Elephas maximus indicus: one gene and its partner. The protein of the gene in region 1 interacts with the protein of each later gene in a biochemical or structural test. Links are inferred from orthologs where the notes say so. Each region holds a gene or a part of one and is shown on either strand. Other genes may lie near its edges.

Region 1 (15,727 bases):
GAGGTAACTGAAATCATCACTGCTTGGGTCAGGTGCACCTTAGGCCTGAAAGTGACATCTTTGCTTTTCAACACTTTGAAGAGGTCTCTTGCAACAGATCTGTCCAATGCAATACATCATTTGGTTTTGACTGCTGTTTCCACTCCAAAAAAAAAAACCCCAAAAATTGAAAACATAAGTTCAAACATAAGTTCAAAACACTTGTACATGGATGTTTATAGCAGTATTATTCACAATAGCTCAAAGGTGGAAGCAACCCAAATGTCCATCAACTGATGAATGGATAAACAAAAAGTGCTACATCCCTACAATGGAATACTATTCAGCCGTAAAAAGGAATGAAGCACTGATAAATACTACAACATAAACCTTGAAAACATTGTGCTTAATGAAAGAAGTCAGACACAAAAAGCCACATATTACATGATTTCATCTAGATGAAATGTCCAGAACAGGCAAATCCACAGAAACAAAGAAACAAAAAATAGATTAGTGGCTAGTAGGGGATAGAAGAAGCAGCCCTGATGATGCAGTGGTTAAACCACTCAACTGCTAACCAAAACTCTGGTGGTTCGAATCCACAAGCTGCTCTGTGGGAGAGAGATGTAGCAGTCTTCTTCTCTAAAGATTTATAGCCTTGAAAACTCTATGGGACAGTTCTACTCTGTCTTATAGGGTTGTTATGAGTAGAAATTGACTTGACAGCAGTTTTTTTGGTTAGGGGTAGGAGGGAAAAATGGGGAGCACCTGCTAATGAATGGGGAGTTTCTTTTTGGGGTAATAAAAATGTTCCGAAATTATATAGGTGGTGTCTTAGTCATCTAGTGCTGCTGTAACAGAATTACCACAAGCGGATGGTTTTAACAAAGAGAAATTTCACAGTAAGGTAGGCTAAAACTCCAAATTCAGGGTGTAAGCTCCAGGGGAAAGTTTTCCCTCTCTGTTGGCCTTCTCGTCAGTCTTCCCCTGGACTAGGAGCTTCTCCATGCAGGGACCCCAGATCCAAAGGACATGCTCTGCTCTTGCTTTCTTGGTGGTATGAGGACCCCGGTCTCTCTGCTCGCTTCTCTTTTACATCTCAACAGATTGCCTGAAGACACAATCCAATCTTGTAGATTGAGTACTGCCCCACTAACACAACTGCCGCCCATCCTCCCTCAATATTATAAAGACAGAGTTTACAACATATAGGAAAATCACACAATACTGGTCACACATTTTTTAGGGGACATAATTCAATCTATAACAGGTGGTGATGGTTCCACAACCTTGTGAATATACTAAGGACCAACGAATTATAAACCATAAAACGGTGAATTTTACTACGTATGAATTAAATCTCAATTAAAAAAAAATTGAAAGAAACTATAAAACAACTGGCCAGTCCTTTTCAAAAGTGTTAATCATGGAAGACAAAAAAAAAAAAAAAAAAAAAAAACCAAGGAACTGTCCCAAGTTGGAACAGACTAAGGAGACTTGACAACTAAATGTGATATGGGATCTTGGATTTGGTGCTGGAACAGAAAAAGGATGTAAGTGGGACAAGTGGTAAAATTAGAATTGTTGTTGTTAGGTGTCAACTTGGTTAGGCCATGATTCTCATATTATGTAATTATTCTCCATTTTGTGATCTGATGTAATTATCCTCCACTTCATGATCTGGTATAATTATCCTCCATTTTGTGACAAAATGTAATCGCATCCATAATGTGATCACCCAGTTATAAGCGGAGTTTCCCTGGGGGTGTGGCCTGCACCCTACATATATATATGGACATTCTGGCAAAGCTCTTGCTTGCTCTGGATACTTTTCCTGGCTTGTTATCATCTGATCTCTGGTTCTTGGGGCTTAAACCTGCAACCTGTCACCTGATCTGCTGACTTTGGAATTTGTCAGCTCAGCAGCCCTGTGAGCCACCAGCCTGCAGTCTGACCTGCTGAATCTAGGTTTGTCAACCCCTGCAGCTACATGAGTCAGAAGAAGCCTCCAGCCAACCTCTGACCCACAGACTTTGGGACTTGTCAGCCTCCACAACAGCATGAGCATTCCCTGAGATCTCTCTCTCTCTACATATATATATGTATATATGTATGTATGTATGTATACATACTTCCACTGGTTTTGCTTCTCTAGAGAATCCAGCTTAAGACAGGTGCCGTCGAGTCGGTTCCAACTCATAGTGACCCTATGTACAACGGAACGAAACAATGTCTGTCCTGCGTCATCCTCACAATTATTGTTATGCTTGAGCCCACTGCGGCAGCCACTATGTCGATCCATCTCATTGAGGGTCTTCCTCTGTTCCACTGACCTTCTACTTTACCAAGCATGATGTCCTTCTCCAAGGACTGGTCCCTCTTCAATAACATGTACAAAGCAAGTTAAGACGAAGTCTTGCATTCCTCGCTTCTAAGGAGCATTCTGGCTGTACTTCTTCCAACATACACTTGTTCATTTTTCTGGCAGTCCATGGTACGTTCAATATTCTTTGCCAACATCATAACTGAAAGGCATCAATTCCTCTTTGGTCGTCCTTACTCATGGTCCACCTCTTGCATGCATATGAGGCAATTGAAAATACCATGGCTTGGATCAGGCACACCTTAGTCCTCAAAGTGACATCTTTGCTTTTCAATACTTTAGACAGATCATTTGCAGCAGATGTGTCCAATGCAATACAACATTTGATTTCTTGGCTGCTGTTTCCACGGGGGTTGATTGTGGATCCAAGTAAAATGAAATCCTTGACAACTTCAATATTGTCTCTGCTTATCATGATGTTGCTTACTAGTCCAGTTGTGAGGATTTTTCTTTTCTTTACGTTGAGGGGTAATCCACATTGAATGCCGTAGTCTTTGATCTTCATCAATAAGTGCTTCAAGTCCTCTTCGCTTTCAGCGAGAAAGGTTGTGTCACCTGCATATTGCAGGCTGTTAATGAATCTTCCTCCAGTGTTGATGCTGTGTTCTTCATCTCGTCCAGCTTTTCGGATTACTTGCTCAGCATACCGACTGAATAAATATGGTGAAAGGATACGCCCTGAGACACACCTTTCCTGATATTAAAACACGAAGTATCCCCTTGTTCTGTTTGAACAACTGCCTCTTGGTCTATGCACAGGTTCCGCATGAGTACAATTAAGTGTCCTGGAATTCCCATTCTATGCGATGTTACCCATAATCTGTTATGATCCACAGAGTCAAATGCTTTGCACAGTCAATAAAACACAGGTAAACATCTTTCTGGTGCACTCGGCTTTCACCCAAGATTCACTTGACATCAGCAATGATATCCCTCGTTCCACATCCTCTTCTGAATCCAGCTTGAATTTTTCGCAGTTCCCTGTCAATGTACTGCTGCAACTGTTTTTGAATGATCTTCAGCAAAATTTTACTTGCGCATGATAGTAATGATATTCTTTGACAATTTCCATGTTCTGCTGGATCACTAATCTCTTCCAGTCGGTTGGCCAGGTAGCTGTCTTCCAAATTTCTTGGCATAGTTGAGTGAACACTTCCAGTGCTGTGTTTGTTTGCTGAAACATCTCAATTGGTACTCCGTCAATTCCTAAAGCCTTGTTTTTCGCCAATGTCTTCAGTGCAGCTTGAATTTCTTCCTTCAATACCATCGATTGTTGGCCATATGCTACCTCCTGAAATGGTTGAATGTTGACCACATCTTTTTGGTATAGTGACTCTGTATATTCCTTCCATCTTCTTTCAGTGGACCCTGCATCATTCAATATTTTGCCCATAACCAAAACCATAGAATCCCTCAATATTGTAACTTGAGGTTTGAATTTTTTTTCTTTCTTTCAGCTGGAGAAATGCTGAGTGTATTCTTCCCTTTCAATTTTCTAGCTCCAGGTCTTTACACATTTCATTATACTTTGTCTTCCCAACCCACCCTTTGAAATCTTCTGTTCAGCTCTTTTATTTCATCATTTCCTCCATTCTTTTTAGCTACTGTATGTTCAAGAGCAGGTTTCAGAGTCTCTTCTGATATCCATTTTGGTCTTTTCTTTCTTTTTAATGACCTTTTGTTTTCTTCATGTATCATGTTCTTGGCATCATCTCACAGCTCGTCTGGTCTTCAATCTCGTGTTCAATGTGTCAAATCTACTCTTAAGATGGTCTCCAAATTCAGTGGGATATAGTCAAGGTCATACTTTGGCTCTCGTGGACTTGTTTTAAGTTTCTTCAGCTTCAACTGAACTTGCATATGAGCAACTGATGTCTGTTCTGCAGTCAGCCCCTGGCCTTGTTCTGACTGATGATATTGAGCTTCTCCATCAGCTCTTTCCACAGATGTAGTTGATTTGATTCCCACGTATTCCATCTGGTGAGGTCCACAGGTATAGTCAGCATTTATGCTGTTGAAAAAAGGTATTTTCAATGAACAGGTTGTTGATCTTGCAAAATTCTACCATGCAATCTCCGGTGTCGTTTCTATCACCAAGGCCATATTTTCCAACTGCTGATTCTTCTTCGTTTCCAACCACAAGTAATTATCAACGCATCTTGACTGCATGTTTGATCAATTTCAGACTGCAGAAGTTGGTATAATAAAAAAAATAAACTTCAGTCTCTTCATCTTTGGCATTACTGGCTGATGCGTAAATTTGAACAATCATCGTATTAACTGGTCTTTCTTATAGGCACATGGATATTATCCTTTCACTGATAGCACTGTACTTCGGAATAGAAAAAATTAGAATAAGGTCTATAAATTAGCTAGGAGTGTACTGATGTCAATTTCCTTGTTTAAATAATTTTATTATGGTTATGTAGGAAGCTGGGTAAAGGGTATACAAAAAATTTGTGTATTATTTTTGCAACTTTTTTTAAATCTAAAATTATTTCAAAATAAAGACTTTAAAAAAATTGTACCTGATACAGGTCAGCAGTCATCAATTTTTTTTCTGGAAATGGCCATATAGAAAATACTTTAAACTTTGTGGGCTGTATGGTCTTTGTGACCACTGCTCAACTCTGCTGTTGTAGCATTAAAGAAATCAAAGGCAATATATAAATGAATGGGAGGGGCTGTGTTCCAGGAAAACTTTTATTTATGGACACTGATACCTCATTTTCCTATAATTTTCACATATCATGAAATATTATTCTTCTTTTGATTTATTCCCCACCATTTAAAAATGTAAAAACCATTTTTAGCTCACAGGCCATGCAAAAACAGTGGGGTCACATTTGTCCCACAGGCTGTAGTTTGCATACCGCTGGTCTAGGTGAGAACTGGCTAATGTGTGCTTCATTTAAAAAGCAAGAGTGTTTTACTCAAATAAGTTTGACAGTATTAAACAAGGTTAAACACATTTCTTTATTGCAAAACTTCTCAGTGCCTTTAATATGGTACTATAAACTGAGAAATTTCAAGAAGGGATAATAGTACGTAGCTTTTCCCGAACTTATATTTACCACAGAACCACCTTTTCAGCAGCATATCTTCAGATTAGTGACCTGAAGAGCACACTCATGAAAATGTTAATTTAGGTACTTCTTTAAAAAGGAAACCTTTAGATTAAGAAGTTTTAAACACTTATCTCCCAACCACCAAATTAAGATCATTTCACCTGGCACCTGGATAGTATCTGAACAAGCATTTCACAACTGTTTTTAAACATGGGAAACACACACAAACAAGCAGATAAACACAGGCAGGAAGTCTTGGCTCAACTCCGACCTTTTCTTTTTTTGCATGTCAGCAGAATTGAGTCGTAACATGGATTCTCGGCTCCATAGGGCAACTTATGCATTCTTAACCACTCTAACAGACTTTTAAAAAGTGAACTACTCTGAATTCTGCAGATCACAAAATAAGGAACTCTGGTGTCCGATTAGAAAACTAAAGTTATATCAGAAGTACTATCTGCAGATTACACACTAGCGACGATGAACTGGCCGGTTAAGTCCGTAAGAGGACAGGTTTCATATGCTGGATGAAAAGTTAGCCAATAGACTGCAAAAACTCTCTGTCTGCACAACATCTATACAACACACACTGCTGGTGAGAGGATTAAGGAAGGATTTATGTCTGAGGGAGGAGAAGGCTGGCCTGCACAATCTCAAAGTGTCCTTCCAACTGAGACTTCTCCACTCTGTAACCCAAAGAGTTCACTGGCTTTACCTGATCAAACACAAAATCTTAAGGGGGCACTTCCAAGGTGTCCTAAGAAAATAAACTATTAAACGATGGAGATGGGGAACTGCTTAGTTATTTGTTCAACAAACATTTAAGGAACCCCTATGAGATGTTGAGCCATTCCAAAGTCCCTGAAAAGAGGGATGGTGCAAAGAATAAGCAGGCATAGATTACATAAGGCCAGACCCACTGGCTTTACTCCCAGGGTTGGGGGTCATCCAAGAAAAAGAGGCAGAAAAAAGAAGTCACATGTACTTTGAGGGTAGAGTCAGCACCAGAAAGGGTCAAAATAACTACTTAGAATCAGAGACTTTCAAGGTGGAAAAAACATCCACCTAATGCCTACACACCTCCTGAACAGGGAGTCACTACCTCTTGAGGCAATCTATTCCATTGCTGCTCACCTCTGATGGTTCTTCCATTAAGTGCTTCTATTAAGTCAAAATCTTCTCTTCCTGATACTAGTTCTGCCTCCTTCAGTCCCAAAGAAGTGGAAGCCCTCCTTGACATAAAACCTTTTGCTTTTTAACGACACTTCCTCCCTTCCAGTGCACTCTTTGCTGGGCTAACCATTACAATTCTTTCAAGATCCTGAACAGGCTCTAGCTGCCTCAAAGCGAAGAATGAATCCTTGTACTCCCAGCAAGAAAGCACCTAATATTAGTGGGTTTCAAACATGAGTACGTATAGGATTCCCACGACTCTTATCCAGATTCTAAACCAGAGGTTTTATGTGAGGCCCAGGAATCTGCATTTTAAAACACGCATCCCGGGGGATTTTGAAGCAGATGGTGTGAGAATCATATTTTGACGAGTAGTACCCCGTTTTACAAATGAGAAAGCCGAGGCCCAGCACAGGAAGGAGATTTGGCCCAGAACACACAACTGACTGTAGGTGGCGAAGTCTCCAACACAGGTCTCTGACTCCCAGTCCAACTCTGTTCACCACGTTTCCTAGCCTCGGCCTCTATACTAGGGCAAACGCGTTAAAAGCAACCCCACGGTGAGACAGGAGGTCCCGTGCGGGGGTGGAAGGGCGCGAAGGGAGTTAGGGTCAGTCCCTGTCTGGAAGGGAGCGCTGGAGGGAGTCTCTCCCCTTCTTCGGGACGGAAAATCAAGACGCTAGCCCCATTTCCTTCCGAGGCAGAAGGCCCAGGGCATGGCCGTGCTTGTTGCCTCCGAGTTCCGGGTCTCAGGTGCCACAGCCCGTGGGCCCCAGGAAGGCAGAACCCGGTCCCACGTCCCCGGCTCCCAGCCTCGCCAGGCCCGCCACCCCAGACCCTCACGTACCTGCCTCCGCGCACCTAACGCCGCCTAGGCCACTCCACCCTGTCGGCCTGTCGGCTGACCTGCCAGTCAACCGGCCAAGGAGTCCGTGTGGCAAGACCTTCGACCCCACCTACGCGAACTCTAGTCACCTGACTCGGAGCCGCCCCTCTTAAGGACTTCCGGCCGCGACCGGAAAAGGTTGGTCCGCTGCGCCGTTCTCGGGTCTAGGACCCGGATCTAAGGTTCCGCCTGCGGACGGGAAGCGGTTAGCTTTTCGAAGCGCTAGAGTAGGGGTTCTTTGAAGAAGAGACTGATAACCAGAGCTAGGGCAAGGAAAGTGTGGAATGAGCTTGTTCCATCAGAATTTAAGGAGGTGTTCTTAGAATAATAGGCATATGTCAAAGGACACAAGCAAACTCGAAGAGGATCCCACTGGCCAAATTGGGACAATTTTAGCATCAAAATACATAATGATAGTAATGGAATATAGCTAATTGAACAAAATAGTAATTCATGAGTCTTTGCTGACATAAAGAAGTGAATAAATAAATAAATGGAGAAGACGGTAAAACTCTATAGTAGAATGCCAACTAATAAACATGATAGAGAACCAACAAATATCCTAAAGGAATAGGTTATTTAGACTGTAAAAGTGTCTCCCATAAATTACTTATTAACTACAAAAGGAAAGTATTAGTTTTACAGAGGTGTAACCTAGTGGGAAGAAACCCGGGTGGCGTAGTGATTAAGAGTTTGGCTGCTAATCAAAAGGTCGGCAGTTTCAATCCACCAGGTGCTCCCTGGAAACACTATGGGGCAATTCTACTCTGTCCTGTAGGGTTGCTATGAGTCGGAATGGACTCCACGACAACGGTTTTGGTTTTTGGTTGACACAGTGGAACAAATGATCAAAGTAATGGACGTTAAGATTACCAGGAGTTCAAGTAGAGATCACGTGCCTCTGAAAACAATGCACTGAGAAGGACAGAACATCTCTTCTGCCAAAAATGTCTAACTTGAACCTTAAGAGGAAGCATTAGATAAACGCACATTGAGGGAGATTCTACAAAATAAGTAACATGTACTCTTCAAAAATGTCAGTGTCATTACAGACAGAGAAAGGCTGTGAAACTGTTCCAGTTTAAAGAGACTAAAAACAAACGACAACTAAATGTGATGTGTAATTCTAAATTGGACCCTGGACTGGGGGTGGGGGCAGGGGATAGCTTTAACGGACCACACTGGAACAGGTGATGAGATTTTAATATGGATTATGGGTTAGCTATTAATATGTATTTTTTCAACGTTAAATTTTCGGAACTTGATCACTGTACTGTAGTTATGTTAAGAGAATGTCCTTAGGAAATACTCACGGAAGTATTCAGGAGTAAATAGACACAGTTTCTCCAACTTAATTTCAAATGATTTAGAAAAAATGCATATATGTAAAAATAGAGAATGATTAAGAAAATGAGACAAAACAAACTTTTGGTGAATCTAGGTAAAGCTTGTATGGGAGTTCCTTATATAGTTTTTGCAACTTTTCTGTAAGTTTGAAATGATACAAAAATTAAAATTTACAAAAAAATGTGGGGGGAGGTGGCTGGGTCCTTGCCAATTCATTTATTTATCTATTAAACTTTGATTATTGCTTTCCACATGCCAGTTCCTGTGCCAGGCACTGGCGATGCAGTGAGAGACAGGATAATGTGCTTTTATGCCTAGTGGAAAAGATGTTAAACTAACTTGTAATCACACAAGTAATGGACCAGAACAAAACATTGCACAGTTCTGCGCCATCCTCACGTTCATCGTTATGTTTGAGCCCCTTGTTGAAGCTAATGTGTCAATCCATCTCGTTGAGAGTATTCCTCTTTTTTGCTGACCCTCTGCCTTACCAAGAATGACGTCCTTCTCCAGGGACTGATCCCTCCTGATACAGTCTATCATTCTTCACTTCTAAGGAGCATTCTGGCTGTACTTCTTACAAGACAGATTTGTTCATTCTTCTGGCAGCCCATGGTATGTTCAGTATTCTTTGCCAACACCGTAAACCAAAGGCATCAATTCTTCTTCTTTATTCCTATTCATTGTCCAATTTTCACATGCATATGAGGTGATTGGAAATACCACGGCTTGGGTCAGCCACACTTTAGTCCTCAAAGTGACATTTTTTGCTTTTCAACACTTTAGAGAGGTCTTTTACAGCAGATTTGCCCAGTGCAATGCGTCTTTTGATTTCTCAACTGCTGCTTCCATGGGTGTTGATTGTGGATCCGAGTAAAATGAAATCCTTGACAACTTTGATATTTTCTCTGTTTGTCATGATGTTGCTTACTTGTCCAGTTGTCAAGACTTTTATTTTCTTTATGTTGAGGTATAATTCATACTGAAGGCTGTAGTCTTTGATCTTCATCAGTAAGTACTTCAAGTCCTCTGCTTTCAGCAAGCAAGGTTGTATCATCTGCATATTGCAAGTTGTTAATGAGTCTTCCTCCCGTGTTAATGCTGTGTACTTCTTCATCTAGTCCAGCTTTTCCAATGATTTGCTCAGTATACAGATTGAATAAGTATGGTGAAAGGATACACCCTGAGACACACCTTTCTTGATTTTAAAACACGAAGTATCCCCTTGTTCTGTTTGAACAACTGCCTCTTGGTCTATGTACAAGTTCCACATGAGTACAATTAACTGTCCTGGAATTTCCAATCCTTGCAATATTATCCATAATTTGTTATGATCCACACGGTTGAATGCCTTTACATAGTCAATAAAACACAGGTAAACATCTTCCTGGTATTCTCTGCTTTCAGCCAAGATCCTCCTGACATCAGCAATGATATCCCTCATTCCATGTCCTCTTTTGAATCCAGCTTGAATTTCTGGCAGTTCCCTGTTAATGTACTGCTGTAACCATTTTTTAATGATCTTCAGCAAAATTTTCCTTGTGTGTGATATTAATGATATTCTTTGACACTCTCCACATTCTGTTGGATCACTTTTCTTTGGAATGGGCACAAATATGGATCTCTTCTAGCTGGTTGGCTAGGTAGCTGTCTTCCATATTTCCTGGATAGAAGAGTGAGCATCTCTAGCACTGCATTTGTTTGCTGAAACATCTCACTTCATAGTCCATTAATTCCCGGAGCCTTGTTTTTCACCAGTGCTTTCAGTGCAGCTTTGACTTCTTCCTTCAATACCATTGTTTCTTGATCACATGCTGCCTCCTGAAATGGTTAAATGTCAACCAAAGCTTTTTGGTACAGTGACTCTGTGTATTCCTCCATCTGCTCTTGATGCCTTCTGCAGCATTCAATATTTTCCCCATTGTCTTGGACATTTAATGATGCAAAAGAGAAATACCACAAGTGGATGGCTTCAAAAAAGATAAATTTATTCTCTTGCAGTCTAGTAGGCTAGAAGTTCAAATTCAGGGTATCGGCTCCAGAGGAAGGCTTTCTCTTCTTGGCTCTGGAGGAAGGCTCTTGTCATCAATCTTCCCCAGACTAGGAGCTTCTCCATGCAGGAACCCCAGGTCCAAAGGATGCACTCTGTTCCTGGCACTGCTTTCTTGGTGGTATGAGGTCCCTGTGTCTCTCTGCTCGTTTTTCTCTTTGATATTTCAAAAGAGATTGGCTTAAGATACTATGTAATCATGTAGCTCTCATCAGTATAGCTGGCACTAATCCATCTCATTACATCACAGTGATAGGAATTTACAACACATAGGGAAATCACAGCAGATGACAATAGACAATTATATGATACTGGGAATCATGACCTAGCCAAGCTGACAGATATTTTGGGGGGACACAATTCAATCCATGACACCCATAAAAACAAACCTGTTGCCACCGGGTTGATTCCGACTCATAGCAACCTGAAAGGACAGAGTAGGCCTGCCCTATAGGGTTTCCAAGGAGTGGCTGGTGGTTCCGCCTGCTGACCTTTTGGTTAGCAGACAAGCTCTTCAAAATTGGAACTTCAGTTTTGAATTTTTTCTTCAGCTCTTTCAGCTTGAGAAATGCTGAGCATGTTCTTCCCTTTCGCTTTTTTAACTTCAGGTCTTTGCACATGTCAATATAATACTTTATCTTCTCAAGCTGCCCTTTGAAATATTCTGTTCAGCTTTTTTACTTCATCATTTTTTTCCATTCCCTTTAACTACTCTACATCCAAGAGCAAGTTTCAGAGTCTCTCCTGATATCCATTTTGGTCTTTTCTTTCTTCCCTGTCTTTTTAATGACCTTTTGCTTTCATCATGTATGATGTACTTGATGTCATCCTATAGCTTGTCTGGTCTTTGGTCATTAGTGTTCAACACGTCGAATCTGTTCTTGAAATGGTCTCCAAATTCAGGTGGGATATACTTAAAGTTGCATTTTGGCTTTTGCAGACTTGTTTTAATTTTCTTCAGCTTCAACTTGAACTTGCATATGAGCAACTGATGGTCTGTTCTGAAGTCAGCCTGTGGCCTTGTTATGACTGATGATACTAAGCTTTTCCATGGTCTCTTTCCGCAGATATGGTTGATTTGGTTCCTGTGTTTTCCATCCAGTGAGATCCACATGTATAGTCACTGTTTATGTTGTTGAAAAAGGTATCTGCAATGAATGTCTGTCAGTATGTAGTTCTGTGGTGGCTTGCGTGTTGCTGTGATGCTGGAAGCTATGCCACCAATATTTCAAATACCAGCAGTCACCCATGGTGGATAGGTTTTAGCAGAGCTTCCAGACTAAGGCTGTGAAGAAGGACCTGGCAGTCTACTTCTGAAAAAATTGGCCAATGAAAACCTTATGAACAGCAGCAGAACATTGTTTGATATAGTGCCGGACGATGAGCGCCTCAGCTTGGAAGACACTCAAAATACGACTGGGGAAGAACTGCCTCCTCAAAGTAGTGTCGACCTTAATGATGTTGCAGTAAAGCTTTCAAGACCTTCATTTGCTGATGTGGCATAACTCAAAATGAGAAGAAACAGCTGCAAATATCCATTAATAACCACAACGTGGAATGTACAATGTATGAATCTGGGAAAATTGGAAGTCGTCAAAGATGAAATGGTATGCATAAAGACCTATATGGTAGGCATTGTTGTTGTTGTTGTTGTGTGCCATCGAGTCGATTCCAACTAATAGTAACCCTATAGGACAGAGTAAAACTGCACAATAGGGTTTCCAAGGAGTGGAAAGGTGGATTTGAACTGCCTACCTTTGATTAGTGACCTGAGCTCTTAACCACTTCGCCACCATGGCTCCATAAAAAATATGGAATGCTCCACAAATTTGGGTGTCATCCTAGGCATTAGTGAGCTGAAATTGACTGATACTGGCCATTTTGAATCAGAAAATCATATGGTCTACTATGCCAGGAGTCACAAATTGCAGAGGAATGGTGCCACATTCATTGTCAACAAGAACATTTCAAGATCCATTCTGAAGTACAATGCTGTCAGTGATAGGATGATATCCATAAATCTACAAGGAAGACCAGTTAATAAGACTGTTATTCATATTTACACACCAACCACTAATGCCATAGATGGGTGTCATGGATTGAATTGTGTCCCCCCAAAATATGTGTCAACTTGGTTAAGCCATGATTCCCAGTATTATGTGGCTGTCCTCCATTTTGTGATTGAAATTTTCCTGTGTTTTGTAAATTCTAATATCTGTCTGTGGTTAATGAGGCAAGATTAGAATACATTAAAGAGGATGAGGGTGGGATTGTAACATCCTTACTAAGGCCACATCCCTGATCCAATGTAAAGGGAGTTTCCCTGGGCTATGGCCTGCACCACCTTTTATCACTCAAGAGATAAAAGGAAGGGAAGTGAGCAGAGAGTTGGAGATTTTATACCATCAAGAAAACAGTGCCAGGAGCAGAGTATGTCCTTTGGACCTGGGGTTCCTGCATGGAGAAGCTCCTAGTCCTGGGAAAGATTAATGAGAGGGACCTTCCTCCAGAGCTGACAGAGAGAGCTAGTCCTGGAGCTGATGCCCTGAATTTGGACTTCCATCCTACTAGACTGTGAGAAAATAAATTTCTCTTCGTTAAAGACATCCACTTGTGGTACTTCTGTTATAGCAGCACTAGGCAAGGAAGACAATGAGGAAATTGAAGATTTTTACCATCTTCTGCAGTCTGAAGTTGACCAAACATGCAGTCAGGATGCATTGATAATTACTGGTGATTGGAATGCGAAAGTTGGAAACAAAGAAAAGGGATCGGTAGTTGGAAAATATGGGCTTGGTGATAGAAATGACACTGGAGATCGCGTTATAGAATTTTGCAAGACCAATGACATTCATTGCAAATACCTTTTTTTTTTTGAGTAATAGACTACTTATCTTAAAAAATAATGATAGCAATTAACTTGCTATGTAAACTTTCACCTAAATCATAATAAAAATAAATAATGACAGTTATCATTTGTTCAGCATAACTAGGTTTACAGTGTTTCATTTGGTCCTTACAGTCACCCTATGAATGGCTTTGGTGATTATCTCCATTTTACAGATGGGTAAAGGAAAATTTAAAGCTTGCACAATTTTATCATTCAATAAAAAGTTTTTTTTTAAATAATACTTTATTGTGTTTTCAGTGAAGCTTTACATAGCAGTTTATGTTCTCATTCAACAATTTCCACCCAAATTGTTCAGTGACATTGGTTACATTCTTCACAGTGCATTACCATTATTATTTCTGTTCTGTTCCCATTAATCTAGTTTACCTGTCCCCTTCTCATCTTTGTTTTAAAGTAATTGTTGACCATTTGGTCTCATATAGATGATTTTTTAAAGGCGCACAGTACTCACAGGTGATATTCTTTATTTTGTTAGACCATCTGTTACTTAGCTAAAAGGTGACCTCAGGGCCTAATTTCCATTCAAGGTTTAAAGAGTATCTCAGGCCAATAGTCTCAGGGAGTCCTTCAGTCTCAACTGGTCCAGTAAATCTGGATTTTTTTAGAATATGAGGTTTGGCTCCACATTTTTCTCCCATTCTATCAGGATCTATCTGTTGTAGCCCTGATCAGAATAGTCAGTAGTGGTAGCTGGACGCCATTTGTTCTGGACTCAGGGCAAATGAGGCCATGCTTTGTGTAGACTATTAGTTCTGTAACCAGTTCTTTGAGTCTGTTGTTTCCTTCTTTCTCTTCTGTTCTGGACGAGTAGAGACCAAGAGTTGTAACTTAGATGGCTGCTCGCAAGCTTTTAAAACCCCAGACGCCACTTACCAAAGTAGGATGTAGAACATAAACTTTATGAGGTATATTATGCTAATTGTTCCATGAGACTATGGTCCTAAGCCTTCAAACCCAGAACACAAATCCTACAATGTGTTTGGTTATGTCTAGGAAGTATCTGTAACTATGCTCTTGTGTGCTTTTTTATATATATATGAATACATATGCATGCACACATATATATGTATATATGTATGCATAAACCTATACACACACATATCTACCCACATATATATATATACCTATGCACATACATGCCTACATACATACCCCAACATATATTTTTTGGTTGTTGTTGCAAAATTATACATGCCATAGCAATTACCAAAAGATGCTTTTTTCTTATGTACATCTTGGTGACATCATTTACCTTGGTCATGCAGTGCACACTTCACCCTCATTCGGTGTCACCTTTCCCATCACCAAAAATAACAAGTGTTTACTGTCTAGAGAGTGAATTCCCCCCACCACCATCCATCTCTGGTAATCACTAAAGGACATTCCAAAAACCAAACCAAACCCATTGCCGTTGAGTCGATTTTGACTCATAGTGACCCTATAGGGCAGAGTAGAACTGCCCCATACAATTTCCAAGGAGCAGCTGGTAGATCTGAGCTCTTCACCATTGTGCCACTAGGGCTCCTAATGGACACTAGTTTCTGTATGTATTTACCTTTTCATGTGATTTCATAAAAGTAGGAACATAAATACTTGGTTTTGTTTTTTGAGATTGACTTATTTCACTCAATGTAATATCCCCCATTCAGAAACTCATATTTTTTTTATTGCTGAGTGGTAGTCCATTATATGTATGTAGCACATCCCATTCATCCATTGAGGGACACTTAGGTTGTTTCCATCTTTTTGCTATTGTGAATAGGGCTGCATGTATCTGTTCATGTCACTTCTATTAGATCCCTAGGGCATATACCTAGGAGTGGAATTGCTGGGTATGGCAGCTCTACCTCTAGTTTTTTGAGAAACTGCCAGACTGTTTTCCACAATGACTGTACCATTTTGCATTCCCACCAGCAGTGGATGAGGGTTC
Region 2 (15,394 bases), on another chromosome or scaffold:
TGTCAGAGCAGGCAGTAGTGGTAGCTGGGCACCATCTAGTTGTACCGTACTCAATCTGGTGGAGGCCATGGTAGATGTGGCCTATTAGTCCTTTGGACTAATTTTTCCCTTGTATTTTTTTTTTTTATCTTTAGTTTTCTTCATTCACCCTTGCTCCCGAAGGGATGAGGCCAGTGGAGTATCTTAGATGGCAACTCATAGGCTTTTAAGACCCCAGATGCTACTCGCCAAAGTAGAATGTAGAACATTTTCTTTATAAACTATGTTATGCCAATTGAGCTAGATGTTCCCTGAGACCATGGTCCCCACAGCCCTCAGCCCAGCAATTTGGTCCCTCAGGGAGTTTGAATGTGTCTGTGGAGCTTCCGTGACCTTGCCTTTTATGAGTTGTTCTGGCTTCCCCAGTATTGTGTACTGTCTTACCCTTTACCAAAGTTACCACTTACCTGTTGTATATTTAGTGTTTTTCCACTCCCTTTCCTCCCCTCTCTTGTAACCATCAAAGATTGTTTCTTTTTGTGTGTAAACCTTTTCATAAGTTTTTATAGTAGTGGTCTCGTACAATATTTGTCCTTTTGTGATTGACTTATTTCACTCAGCATAAGGCCCTCCAGATTCATCCAGATTATGAGATGCTTCACAGATTCATCATTGTTCCTTACTGTTGTGTAATACTCCATAATTTGCTTATCCATTCATCTGTTAATGGGCATAGGTTCTCTCTTTTTGCTATTGTGAACAATGCTGCAGTGAACATGGGTGTGTATATGTCTATTTGTGTGATGACTCTTATTTCTCTAGGATATATTCCTAGGAGTAGGATTGCTGGATCAAATGGTATTTCTATTTCTAGCTTTCTAAGGAAGCGCCATACCATTTTCCAAAATGGTTGTATCATTTTGCATTCTTCCAGCAGTGCCTAAGAGTTCTGATCTTCCCGTAGCCTCTCGATATTTCTTATTTCCTGTTTTTTTGATTCGTGTCAGTAGTGCTAGGGTGAGATTGTATCTCATTGTGGTTTAATTTGCATTTCTCTAATGGCTAGTGATCACGAGCATTTCCTCATGTGTCTGTTGGCCGCTTGAATATCTTCTTTGATGAAGTGTCCATTTCCTTTGCCCATATTTTAATTGGATTATTTGTCTTTTTGTTGTAGAGTGTTGGATTTTCGTGTAGATTTTAGAGATTAGACTTTTGTCTGATTTGTAATAGTCAAAAATTTTTTCCCGGTCTGTAGGTTCTCTTTTTACTCTTTTGGTGAAGTCTTTTGATGAGTGTGTTGTTGTTGTTAGGTGCCATTGAGTCAGTTCCAACTCGTAGTGACCCTATGTACAACAGAGTGAAACACTGCCCAGTCCTGTGCCATCCTCACAGTTGTTGCTATGCTTGAGCCCATTGTTGCAGCCACTGTGTCAATCCACCTCATTGAGGGTCTTCCTCTTTTTCGCTGACCCTCTACTTTACCAAGCACGATGTCCTTCTCCAGGGACTGATCCCTCCTGACAACATGTCCAAGTATGTGAGATGCAGTCTTGCCATCCTTGCTTCCAAGGAGCATTCTGGTTATACTTCCTCCAAGACAGATTTGTTCGTTCTTTTGGCAGTCCATGGTATATTCATTATTCTTCACCAACACCACAATTCAAAGGTGCCAGTCCTTCTTTGGTCTTCCTTATTCATTGTCCAGCTTTCGCATGCATATGAGGCAATTGAATACACCATGGCTTGGGTCAGGTGCACCTTCGTCCTCAAGGTGACATCTTTTGCTTTTTAATACTTTAAAGAGATCTCTTGCAGCTGATTTGCCCAATGCAATGCATCGTTTGATTTCTCTACTGCTGCTTCTATGGGTGTTGATTGTGGATCCAAGTAAAATGAAATCCTTGACAAAGTCAGCCTTTTCTCCATTTATCATAATGTTGCTTATTTGTCCAGTTGTGAGGATTTTTTTTTCTTTATGCTGAGGTGCAGTCCATACTGAAGGCTGTGGTCTTTGATCTTCATCTGTAAGTGCTTCAAGTCCTCTTCATTTTCAGCAAGCAAGGTTGGTCATCTGCATAACGCAGCTTCTTAATGATTCTTGCTCCAATCCTGATGCCCCATTCTTCTTCATACAGTCCAGCTTCTAGGATTATTTGCTCAGCTACAGATTGAATAGGTATGGTGAAAGGATACAACCCTGACATACACCTTTCCTGACTTTAAACCATGTAGTATCCCCTTGATCTGTTCAAATGACTGCCTCTTGATCTATGTACAGATTCCTTATGAGCACAATTAAGTGTTCCGGAATTCCCATTCTCCACAATGTTATCCATAATTTTTTACGATCCACACTTGTTCTTACCTACTAATCTGTAATGAACAATTTCACATTTTTTTCGTATGTGAAATTTTCACTATAGATTAGTAAGCCCAAGTAAGCCTGTGCTTACCTTGTATTATAGATTGAATTGTGTCCCCCCAAAATATGTGTCAGCTTGGTTAGGGCATGATTCCCAGTATTGTGTGGTTGACTTCCATTTCATAATTGATGTAATTTTCCTATGTTTTGTAAACCCTAACCTCTGCCTGTGGTTAATGAGGCAAGATTGGGTTATGTTAAAAAGGATTAGGGTGGGATGTAACAACCTTACTCAAGTCATATCCTTGATCCAATGCAAAGGGAGTTTCCCTGAGGTGTGGCCTGCATCACCTTTTATCTTACAAGAGATAAAAGGAACGAGAAGTGAGCAGAGAGTTCGGGGACCTCAACCACCAAGAAAGCAGTTCCTTTGCTGAGAAGCTCCTAGTCCAGGAGAAGATTGATGACAAGGACCTTCCTCCAGAACCTACAAAGAGAGAAAGCCTTCCCCTGGAGCTGGCACCCTGAATTTGGACTTACAGCCTACTAGATTGAGAGAGAATAAATTTCTGTTTATTAAAGCCATCCACTTGTGGTATTTCTGTTATAGCAGCACTAGATAACTAAGACACCTTGCTCACTGGTTAATTTGCCCCTACTTCCAAACATCAAACTACACGAGTTTTCCTCCTGTATTTCTGGCTGTTCTTTCTCAGTCTACTTTGCTTGTTTTTCCTCCTTGAGCACTGTGCTCAAGCCCAACGGCACGACCAAATCAATCTCAAAATTCTGTCTTTATGAGTCTTCTGGGACTTTTTTTTTCTTTTTAAATTTTATTTATTTTATTGTCATTGTTGAGAATATACACAGCAAAACATACACCAATTTAACAGTTTCTACATGTTTTTTTACATGTACAATTCAGTGACATTGATCACGTTCTTCAAGTTCTGCAACCATACTCACTTTCCTTTTCTGAGTTGTTCCTTCTCCATTAACATAGATTCACTGCCCCCTAAATTTCCTATCTAATCTTTCAAGTTGCTGTTGTCAAGTTGATCCCAAATAGATAGTTCCTTTTTTTTTTTTCCTAAATTGTGCATTAGGTGAAAGTTTTACAGAGCAAATTAGTTTCCTATTTGATAGTTTGTACAAAAAGCATGTCATGACTGTGGTTTCACTCCCCACAATGGGTCAGCACTCTCCCCATTTGCACCCTTGGTTCCCCATTTCCTTTAGTCCTGATTTTCTACCCCTTCCTGCCTTCTCATATTTGTTTTTGGTCAGTGTTATGGATTGAATCGGAACCAACTTGACGGCACTGAACAACAGCAACATGGATTGAATTGTGTCCCCCCAAAATGTGTATCAATTTGGCTAAGCCATGATTCCCAGTATTGTGTGATTGTCCACCATTTTGTCATCTGATGTGATTTTCCTACGTGTTGTAAATCCTACTTTTATGATATTCGTGAGGCAGACTTAGAGGCAGTTATATTGGGGCAGGACTCAAGCTACAAGATTAGGTTGTTACATGAGTTGATCTCTTTTGAGATATAAAAGAGAGAAGTGAGCAGAAGGGGGACCTCATACCCCCAAAAAAGAAGCACTGGGAGCACAGCACCTCCTTTGGACCTGGAGTCCCTGCGCTGAGAAGCTCCTAGACCAGAAGATTAATGACAAGGACCTTCCCCCAGACTTCTAGCCTCCTAAACAGTGAGAGAACAAAATTCCATTTGTTAAAGCCAGCCACTTGTGGTATTTCTGTTATAACAGCACTAGAAGACTAAGACAGGCAGGTAGATATTGCCCTTTGATTTCCTGTAATTAATTTTTCCAAGAAGTACATTCCTCTGGGGTGTTATTGTTTAACTTATGGGCTTCTCTATTGTTTGGTTGGGACGTAAAAGAGCATAATGTTCTTAAAAGAGCATAATGCTCGAGGCAGACATTTCTTATTTCTTACTAGTTAAGCTAAATTATTGTTTGGTTTTAAGAAGACTTCAGTGGAAACATTTGGTTTAAGGTTTAAAGACTATTTTAGGGCAATCTTGGGACCATTCTTGTTATGAACCATGTAGCAACCTGGGTTCAATCAGGAGATAGAAATCACACAATAGGTTAAATTGGGGGAGTTTAATATAAGAATTATTAACTATAATAAAAGAGTACAAGATATAAGGAAACTTTATGTGGTAACTTAGGGCTGAGGGAGAGTACCCAAGGAAGGACAAACTTGGAAGAAGTTCAGACTTCATAGGAGGTTATACATTGGCTATCAGATAACAGAGAAGTTTGCTGGTTTAGCCAGACTGGAGCTAGTCTGGAGTTGCTAAGCAAACAACAGGCAAACTGCCACAGTGGAGGGTGGAGAGCAAGCAGGGGGTATCTGTTAACCAGTGGGTGTCTGCAGAAGGCTTTCAGGGAGCACTTAGTGACTTTCAGAGGGAGAAGCACCTCCATGTGTGACCCTGTGGACCACAGGTGGCTGTGTGCAGGGCATGCAGTAGTTTAGTTTTTGAGCTGAGAGTGCTGTGGATGGGTTATTGCCAGACCAAGGCTGCAAGGTTGCGGAGGGATCACTTTCTGTGCCTCTGACACAAACAAACTCCACCCAATGCTGTCACACCCACAAAAGGCTAACTTTTTTTCCCCTCACCCATGCTTTGTCCACTCCGCACCCCCCACTGGAAATCTCGGGAATCTTCTTCATCCTCCAGTGTCCCTCCAGCAATCTCTACTGAGAAAGCTTAACATTGTGCTTGCTTTAAAGGAGAAATGCTTAAAGGCATTCTGTTGTTTATTGTACAGCATCTATTGAAAGGTGCATTCGGAGCTAAGAGACAATGATACATCTCATAGTTAACGTGCTCCAGCCACACTTGATGTTGTTTCAACGACTGGGCATGATCTCACCTTAGGTCATTTTGTTAGCTTCTCTTTCTGTTTGGAACGCTATTTCCCTAGGAATCCCCTCCTTTAAATCTGCTCAAATGTCACTGGTATGGATTGAATTGTGTCCCCCCAAAATGTGTGTAAACTTGGCTAAGTTATGATTCCCAGTATTGTGTGATTGTTCACCATTTTGACATCCGATGTGATTTTCCAGCGTATGGTCAATCCTATCTCTATGATGTTAATGAGGAAGGATTAGAGGCAGTTACTTTAATGAGGCAGGACTCATTACAAGATTGTTACTTGAGTCAGTTGTTGAGATATAAAAGAGAAGTGAGCAGAGAGACAGGGGGACCTCATACCACCAAGAAACAAGAGCCAGGAGAATAGTGGTCCTTTGGACCAGCGGTCCCTGCGGGGAGAAGCTTCTCGACCCGGGAAGATTGATGACAAGGACCTTCCCCCAGAGCCAACAGAGAGAGAAAGACTTCCCCTGGAACTGGCACCCCTAAATTTGGATTTCTAGCCTCCTAGACTGGGGAGAATAAATTTCTCTTTGTTAAAGCCGTCCACTTGTGGTATTTGTGTTACAGCAGCACCAGGTAACTAAGACAGTAACTTTCTCAGTATTTCAGTAGTGCACCACCTCTCATTCCCAATCCACTTTGCACTACTTTTTCCTTTTTCTTCTTTTTTAAATTGTGATTTAGGTGAAAGTTGACAGAGCAAATTGGTTTCTTATTAAACTGTTCATACCTAAATTGTTTTGTGACATTGGTTGCCGACCCATATTTTTTCCTTTTTCAATAGTGCTTATCATCGTCTACCATATAAGATAACTTACCTATGTAATATATTTATTGTCTACTGTCTGTTTCTACCGACAATGTTCTTCCAGCTTACCAGAACGTAAGCTCCAGGAGAGAAGGGATCTTTGTTTATGGATATACCCCAAAAGCCTAAAAAAGCTTGTCTACTTCAAAAGTTTGTCTACTTGCAGGGCTTCACACTGGTTCCAATTTGTTACTGGACGAAACCCCAGGTTCTGCTCGGCATGACTTCTACTAGCCAATAAGTGAGAGAACGAGGTGGGAGAACAGGAAAGGCACCTTTATTTCGTTGTAAAAGGAAAGCAGGCGCAATGGGGTTTACATAAAAGCAGAATTCAAATGCAAAGTTGGGGGAGAGGAAGCCAAGTAAAGAAAATAGAATTTTTAATACAATACTATGGAGCTGTCCAATACACGTTCAGTCAAGGCCAGTGAAGCGAAACCGGAACCAGAATAACCGGAATGAAAAAATTACCAGTGGAAGCCCTGGAATGGGAGACTTGGAAGAGGCATAGTGAGCCCTTGCAGGCGCCTCATACGGGAGGTTGATTATTGCTAGGACTGTGCAGAGTGATACACAAAGCGGCAAGGTTAGCTGCCGCCTTGATGGGGTACCGTTTTCTGAGCTCTGCTCAAAATCCTAAGGGCAAGAGATTTGGTTGCCATGCAATGGGATATTGCTCTTATTTTTCTAAGAAAGAGATTAGGTTTCCAGCAAGGCTTCAACAAGTAATTTTTCCCATTTTGGTTATTGTTTCGGTTCACCCAAATTTTAAAACCTCGGGTCTGCTCCTTGACTTTGATCGAACTGGGCAGAACCGGTTCAATGCCCTGGAGAGAAGGTACCTTGTTTTCCAAAATTCGTCTAGGTGGTACTCCAGCAAGTAAGTTTGGCGACCAAAGCCCTCAAGAAATTGTACAGTGTTTTCTGCCTTCCTCTCCTTGCGTTAAGTACTGTACCCAAACCAGTGGCACCGTTCCCACTGAGGGTGAGAATATACCCACTCTCCAGCACGCGGTGGCCTGCCCCAGGCGGCGGGGGCGTAGCTTCCTGTGACCGCCCAGCGTCGAGTTCCCCTCCAATGCGTGCTGGCCTCCAGGCGGCGGACGCTTTCCCGCTCAGTTACCGTCATTCTTAAGTTTCATTTCTTACTCCATTTCTGCTGTCTCCTTCTGAGGGCGTTTATCCGAAGTCAAGTTACCTTTCGAGGAGCAGAGAGCCCACGGCATGGACCCTCGGCAGGGAAAGGCAACGCGGACACCTAAAAAGGTCGAAGCCGCGGCCCCTAAAGGCTCAGCGCCGAGTGCAGGAGGCGCCCTGGAGAAGTCAGACAAATCTTCGCCTGCCTCCGGGGCCGCGCAGTCCTCCAGAGAAAGGTGCGGCCGGGCTGGGAAGTCGGAGTCCCTGAGGAGGAAGAGCGCCCCGGGCCCCCAGGAGAGGCCGCAGGGGGCCCGCTCCAAAAAGGCGCCCCTTTGCGCCGGGGACACGGAGCCCTTGGGCGCCGCCACCTGCGTCTGTTTGGAGGGAGAGAGGCCTTCCGCGCCTCTGAGGGCGCCGGTTCCCGGGGGGGGATCTCGCTGCGAAGAGGACGCGGAATCCGCTAGAGAGCAGAGGTCCGCGCCCGGGCCTAAGGAGTTGCGGATCCCGCGATCGCTGGTCCCGGCCCCGAACCTCGGCCGAAGAGAGTCGGCGGACGGTGCCTATATTAAGCTTCGGGCAGTGCTGGAAAAGTTGAAGTTGAGACGTCAGGAGATCACCTCGGCGGCTGAGATCGTGAACGGGGTCGTGGATTGCCTGCTGCGGAGACTGCAGAGCTGTGAATCAGCGTTCAAAGGCATCTCCCAGTTGCGCACTGGGAGCTACTATGAGCGCGTGAAGGTGAGCTGCCCAGCGCGCCGGCTGGGCTTCCTCGGCCCCCTTTCCAGCCTCTCCGACTTCCTTCTCTCCCTCGGGTCGCGGTCCCTCACCTCCCTTCGGAAGTAACTTAGACTCCTGTTCCGTGGTGGCTTGTGCAGAGTTCTAATTAAGTCGACAAACACTTGTTCGTTCACTTATTCGTCTGTTCATCTAACGGTGATCCGACTAACCGATATTGATTGCCAGCCACTCTCCAGACACTGCTATGAGGGATTTCAAATGTATAGATTCATTCATGTAAGCTGAGATGTATTGAATTTCTCTAGCAATACTAGGTGTTGTTAAACTCTAACGATGATTGAGAGTGATTTGCGAGGAACTCCACAAAATTTATGTATCTAAGAGACTTTTTCCTACGAGGGGGACATCCGTACTTTATAGGACAAATGTCTTCAGTTACCCCTTGCCACCCCTTCCCATTTCTATACAGATATGGGAAATTCACAGTGATGTTAGAAAAAATTAAATGAAATTCTGTAGGTATTAAAAAGCATACTTCCTAAATACACACCAATATAATTGCTTTTAAATCTATTTTCCAGAGCTCCATTTGTTTGTGGGCGATTGAGTCATTAAAATAATATTTCCAGTATAAATTGACTGTTTGGAGCAGTTTCCTGACTTGAGTTTATTTCCTGATCAGTGGCAAATTTATTTGATTGTGTTTTTGTCTGTCAGCTTTCTGAGTGCTGGGCTATGCACCTTCTTTAGCTTTATGTAAGATCTTGGGTGAAGCATGAACACAAATAGAGGCTGATAACATATCTTTATTAAAGTAAAACCAGAAAACCAAACCCAGTGCCGTCAAGTCAATTCCGACTCATAGCGACCCTATAGGACAGGGTAGAACTAACTGCACCATGGAGCCTCCAGGGAGCGCCTGGTGGATTCGAACTGTCGACCCTTGGGTTAGCAGCCATAGCACTTAACCGCTACACCACCAGGGTTTCCTCATTAAACTAATCATATCTTTAGAGTTAAATGTTGGCTTTATTCAACTACCTACTTCTTTCTGGAAGGAGGATGATTGTAATACTCAAGATTTAGGGTTTTAGCATTATAAACTCTTAAGAGAGCAGGCTAAATATATGCATCTCTGTATCTCTTAGTCTTAACACATAGCAAGCCCTCAAGCTAATGAATGAATGAATAGGCTGAAGAAGAAGGGATGGGTGGTCTGTCTTAAGATTCCCTTTCTCAACCTTCTCCTCAGCCTCTTCCATATTCACCTCTTTGTGTTGATAACCTTGGAAAAGTCAGAAAAGCATATAGAAGAAAAATAATATTTATTTTATTCAGTGTTATCATTTTGCTGTATTTTCTTCCATTATGTATATATACATAAACTTGATTTCAAACTTGGATTCCAGGCTCTGAAAGGACAGACAATATATACTCCTTAGTGATTTATTTACCTGACTGTATATCAGCATTCATATATTGTAATATTATCAATTCCTGGATACAAATCTGGAAAATATCTCGTAAATTTTTTGTAAACACCCCCTGTAGAATTGCCAGTCTGTATAGTTCTTTTTTTTTTTTTTATTTTTAGTTCTTACTGTCTTGGTTGTTAATATACTTTATTATTTATATAGTTTGGACTGAATGAAAACATTACATAGAAATCAATTAATTATGCAATGACACATTAACCAGTCAAGAAAAGTAACAAACTATAGCAATGTGCAGCAACATGAATGAATCTTACAAACGTAATGTTGAATAAAGCTAAAGAATACATATAGCCAATGAAATAAGGCAAGAAAAATAAATAAAATGCATGAAATTGGAAAAGAAGAAATAAAATTGCTATGCACAGATGACTTGATTGGGCTTTTGTACAAACTATTAGAAATAATTAGTGAATTTAGCAAGGTTGCTAGATACAAAGTCGATACACAAAAATCAAAAGTATTTCAATATAATAGCAAAAACAGGTTTAAAATGATAAAAAATATAATTTACAATAACATCAAAACATCAAATGATTAGGAATAAGTTTTGTTAAAGATGTTCAAAACTTCCAAGTATTACTGAGTAAATTTGAAGAAGTACTAAGTAAATGGAAAGCCAAACAGTGCTTAGTTTTCCCCAAATTGATTTACAGATTCAATGTAATCTCAGTCAAAATCCACCAGTTTTTTATTTAAGCTGACCAGCTGGTTATAACACTTATATGGAAACGCAAGCACCCAGAATAGTCAAGGCAGTTCTAAAGGAGAACAATGTTGGAGAATTTACCCTACCAGATACCAAGACTTACTATAAATCCTGATTAAGCACGTGGTATTGGTGCAATGATAGACAAATAGGCCAATAGAATAAAATATCCAGACACAGACCCACCAACGCATATAAGTCAATACAGTACACAACATATGCAATATATGTAATTCGATGGGGAGAGGTGGTCTTTTAAATAAATGATATTGGAGCAGTTGTATATCCCCATGAGAAAAACATGCACCTTGACCCCTACCTCACATCATACACAAAAAATCATTTGAGATGTGTCATAGGCCTAAAGGTAAGAGATAAAACAATAATGCTTCTAAAAGAAGGCATAGGATAATAACTTCATAACCTTGGAATGTGCAAATATTTCTTAAACAGGACACTACAAATGCTAACCATAAAAGAAAAAATAGGTAAATTAGACTTTATTAAAATTAAGAGCTGCTGTTCATCAAAAGATGCCATTGAGAGAGTAAAAATGCAAACCATAGACTAGGAGAAGATGTTTGCAATATATATATATTTGAAAAAGGACTCATACTCAGAATATATAAAGAACTACAAATCAATAACAGAAAGACAAACTAAAAATGGGCAAAAGACTTGATCAGATATTTAGTATGTCATCCAGATAGCAATAAACATATGAGAGGTGCTCAGCGTCATTAATATCAGGAAAATGCAAATTAAAATTATGATGAGATTCTACCACACATCTATTAGAATGGCTAAAAATAAAATAGACTTGACAGTTTCAAGTGTTGGAGAAGATACGGAGCAACTGAAACTCCCTTACATTGGTGGTAGGAAGATAAATAGGTACTACCTCTTTAGAAAGTCGGCAGTTTTTTCTAAAGTTAAAGATACACCTACCCTATAGTCCAACAGTTCCACTCTTGGGTATATATACACAGTAGAAATGAGTGGTCATGTCCACCAAAAGGCATATGCAAGAATGCCCAGGACAGCATTAATTGTAGTAGTTAAAAACCATAAACATTTCGCTGGGTGTATTCTCAACATCAATAAATAAATTAAAAAAAAAAACAAAACTGTAAACAACCGAAATATCCATCAACAGAGTTGGTAAGTATATTTTGATATATTCCATTAATTCAGTGGAATACTACATAGAATGATAAAGAACTGCCAATGTGCAGAACAATATTGATGATTCGCACATAATTTGAATGAAAAAACTCTGATGTAAAAGAGTACATACTATATGATTTTGTTTATATGAAGTTCCCAAACAGGCAAACTTTCTGTTATTAGAAGTCAAAATACTGGCTAGCTTTGGTGGAGGGTTACTGACAGGAAGTGGGAATGAGGAAGCCTTTAAGGTGCTGAGTGTGGAAATAGGGCAATTTAGAACACCACAAAGCTCACTGTTGTTACTGAGGTTTGACCATTTTTCTTGAATAGACACTCCTCAGATTTTTGCAAGTCTTTGGTTAATTTACAGAGTTCAGAGCTCCTTGGATTGTTGCAAGCCTTTGGTTAATTCAGAGTTCTGAAAAAGTTGAGTTTGTCCTGTGTTCTTACTGCTTTTATGAAGGAGCAAGCTTTTGGAGGTTCTTACTCCATCATTCTCATTGACATCATTCCCAGTGTGTGTTTTACTTTCAGTACATCTCAACTCAAACTAGCCATATTTCATGTGTTCACTAGACATATATGGCTACTAGCTACGGTATTGAACAGTGCAGTCAAAGAGCTATACTTAAAGCATACTCCTAATGAAAGGCTCTTGACATTTTTTTAGGAAAAATAAACATTTATTAAAATTGCTGTAATTATTATTATGAGGTGAAAAATAAGATCATTTGATGCTCTTAAAAATGCTGTGCTTCAAAGACACTAATGTAGTGAATGGTTTGTTGGTGACACTCGCTTGGGCGGCCAACAGCTGTAACAAGATGGCTCTTGGTCACCTGGCTAGGAAGTGACTACACATATTTTTGAGACCATGGCTACAGGAGGGTGACTGTAGTATCTTTTGATATAAAAGAAAACATCATAAAGGTCTTTAGTTTTACTAAAATTTAAACTCAGAAATAAAACTGAGATAGACTTTAAGCTTACATGATATCATTTATAATTAGTTGTAATTATAAAAAAAAAAACCAGTAAAACTCTTCCACCTGTTCCCAGCTCCTCTAATCCCATTTCCAGAGGGTATAAATGTTTGGAATTCTGTTTTTAAGAGTAGACTTTTAAGTAGAAATTTCAAGAAGAAATTAATTGCAGCCCCTTGGAAAATATTCACAAGTAAGCATTTCAGTTCTCTTTTTACTATTTCATAGATATCTGCTCCTAATGAATTTGATATCATGTTTAAACTGGACGGCTACAGAATTCAGCTAGAAGAATATGGCGATAGTGGTGCTTTTTACTTTGTGAAGTTCAGAAGAAATCCCAACGGAAATCCTCTGAATCAGTTTTTAGAAAAGGAAGTATTATCTGCTTCTAAAGTACTGGCAAAGTTTAGGACAATTATTAAGGAAGAAATCAAAAACATTAAAGGTAAGATTTTTGACATTCAGTTTTTCAAATTCTAATCATACCTACTACTGCCAATGTACTGTTGTCTCCTGATCTTTCTTGACCTCCCTGCAGCAAACTGTTGACCTCTAACTCCTTCCAGAAACAACTCTTGGTTTCTGTCCACCACATTTTCTTGGTACTCTTCCTAAATGTTGGTTGACTGTATTTCAGTCTTCATTGAATATTCATTGAACTGCTGCCTGTGCCACTGGGTATATATGGTTGAATAAAACAAGGGGGCTCCCCTCTTGAAGCTTGTGATCTACTAGAAGAAATAATGTGTAAATAATATATAATACATATTGTAGTGAGTGGTATGAAGTTAATGAAATGGGAGAAGTGATATTGATTGGGGTGGGGAGGACAAGAGTACAAGGCTCTGAGGTGCAAAATAGCTTGGCAAGTTCAAGAAACAGAAGAGGCCCATGTGAACAAGGAGAAAGCGACTTGAGTTGAAGTTGAAGAGGTGGCCAGGGGCCTGAATAAATAATCTTTTTTAGAAGGATCAGCACAAAGCTGATTCCTATGAGGTGGAAGTTAAAGATGTCCGAAGTGTCCAGTTTTTCCAAACTGCTATACTACTCCATCATTTCCAACATCAACTACTTCTCAGTTCTCTCCTTCCCATATTTTGGGTTCCGTAATTGGCTACAGTGACTCACAGAACTCATGAACCATTAAGGAAATGGTTCATACTGTTGTGTAGGCTGGCACATCCCAGTCTGTGGGTCAGGCTGAAGGCTTCTCCTGACTGACATAATTGCAGGGGATAACAAACCCAAAATGGCAGGTCATACGACAGGCTGCTGGCTCACAAGGCTGCGGAAGCTGGTGAGTCAGGTCAAACGATAGGCTACTGGCTCACGGGGTTGTGAAAGCTGGTGAATTCCAGAATCAGCAGGTCAGATGGCGGGCTGCTGGCTCAAGTTCCAAGAACCAGAGGTCAGATGATGATGAGCCAGATGCAGGATTCAGAGCAAGAAAGAGATCTTTACCCAGAGCATTCATATGTATTGGATGCAGACCATACTTCAAGAAAATGCCCCTTATTTGAGCAAGGTGGTGCAAGGGTATAACTTGAATAAAGACGGTAAGGGTGGCAACTGGGATAAGGGTGTTGACTTGAGTTATACCCTGTAGTAAGGAGGTGACTCAAAATATATTCCTCCCTAATCCTGCCTCATTAACATAACAGAGAAGTTACTCCCAAATGGGACCATTAGCATAGGCATAGAGGCTAAGATTTACAACACATCACAAAATGGAGGATAAATACATCAGATCACAAAATGGAGGATGGCTATATCATTACATAACTGCCAAATTACATCATTAAATAACTGCCAAACCACTGAAAATCATAGCCTAGTCAAGCTGACACATAACCATCACAGGTTCTGTACACCTTATTTGCATTAGCAGCACGCTGTCCAATCTCCTTGGTAGGCCACAAGCACCTTTTTTTTGCATCATTCCACCCAATCATTGTGTGGGAGTCACAAAGACTATGGCCAGAAGGCCATATTAAGTAATTCACTGCACCACAGACGAGATCCTGTAAGGATTTGCGAATCCTGGCAAAGAGTTTAGATTTTATTCTATGTACGTTGATAAGCCACAGACAGGTTTTAATCAGGGAATGGTGATTGGCTTTGTGTTTTTAAAAGTTCAGGTGAAAGATGATCGTGGCTTAGATGGGATGGAGTTAGGGTGCTGGGGATGGAGAGAAGCAGACAGATTCAAGTTATGCCACTATTTGCTGCTGGATTAAATATAGGGACTGAGGGAGAGGGTTGAATTAAAGATGGCTCCCAAGTTTCAGGTTTAAGCACCTCAGGTGCATTGGTTGTGGCATTTTTCAAGGTGGTAAGGACTGAAGAGGAACATAATTTGGGATATTAATTAAGAGTTTCACTTTGAGTATGTTAGGTTAGAGATTCCTGTGAAACATCCAAGTGGATGTCAAGTATGCAGTTGGATATGGGTTTGGAATTCAGAGAATATGTTTGGGCTGTGGTAAACATTTGGAAGTCACAACACATAGATGGCATAGGGAATGGATGAGATCACCTAGGCAGAGAGTGTAGGTTCATTTATTCATTATTTGATATGTATCTGTTAATCATCTAATGTCCCAGTCACTGTTCTGTATGTTTGGGACACATTAATGAACAAATAATTGAAGACTCTCAACCTTCTGTAGCTTATAATCTTGCAAGTGGAGACATGCAGTTAATAATAAGTGGAAACCCTAGGGGGCAGTGAATTTATGTCACTGGGAGAGGAACAACTCAGAAAAGGAGGGTGAGAATGGTACACAACTCAAAAGATGTAATCATTGTCACTGAATTATACATGTAGAAACTGTTGGATTGGTGTATACAGCAACAAAAAATTAAATATAAAAAAACACTTGGGAAAAAAATAAAGATCTTGTGTGCCAAAATGTAGTAAGTACTATACTATGGGGGAAAATGTCTATCGAAGTGAAAGGGGTCACGAGAGTGCTGGGAAGCAAATTACAATGTTAAGAAGATCCCATTAGCGGTTGGACTGAAGAGAAGAAGCAAAAGGAGAATGTGTTTTGCAGAAGAAGTGGTCAGTGTTTAGAATGCTGCTGAC

What was found.
Region 2: of the proteins of RNF185 (region 1) and CGAS, one has a biochemical effect on the other in vitro, tested with the Homo sapiens proteins (2 studies listed by BioGRID). The link is inferred for Elephas maximus indicus from reciprocal best matches to the Homo sapiens genes RNF185 and CGAS.

What each region holds. Positions count from the first base shown.
Region 1 is NC_064840.1:25,064,763-25,080,489, forward strand, and holds the start of RNF185 (E3 ubiquitin-protein ligase RNF185), read right to left. Parts: upstream 7,622-15,727; 5' UTR 7,451-7,621; intron 1-7,450. UniProt on the Homo sapiens protein: E3 ubiquitin-protein ligase that regulates selective mitochondrial autophagy by mediating 'Lys-63'-linked polyubiquitination of BNIP1.
Region 2 is NC_064819.1:136,746,040-136,761,433, reverse strand, and holds the start of CGAS (cyclic GMP-AMP synthase), read left to right. Parts: upstream 1-7,164; 5' UTR 7,165-7,297; coding exon 7,298-7,948; intron 7,949-12,531; coding exon 12,532-12,751; intron 12,752-15,394. UniProt on the Homo sapiens protein: Nucleotidyltransferase that catalyzes the formation of cyclic GMP-AMP (2',3'-cGAMP) from ATP and GTP and plays a key role in innate immunity.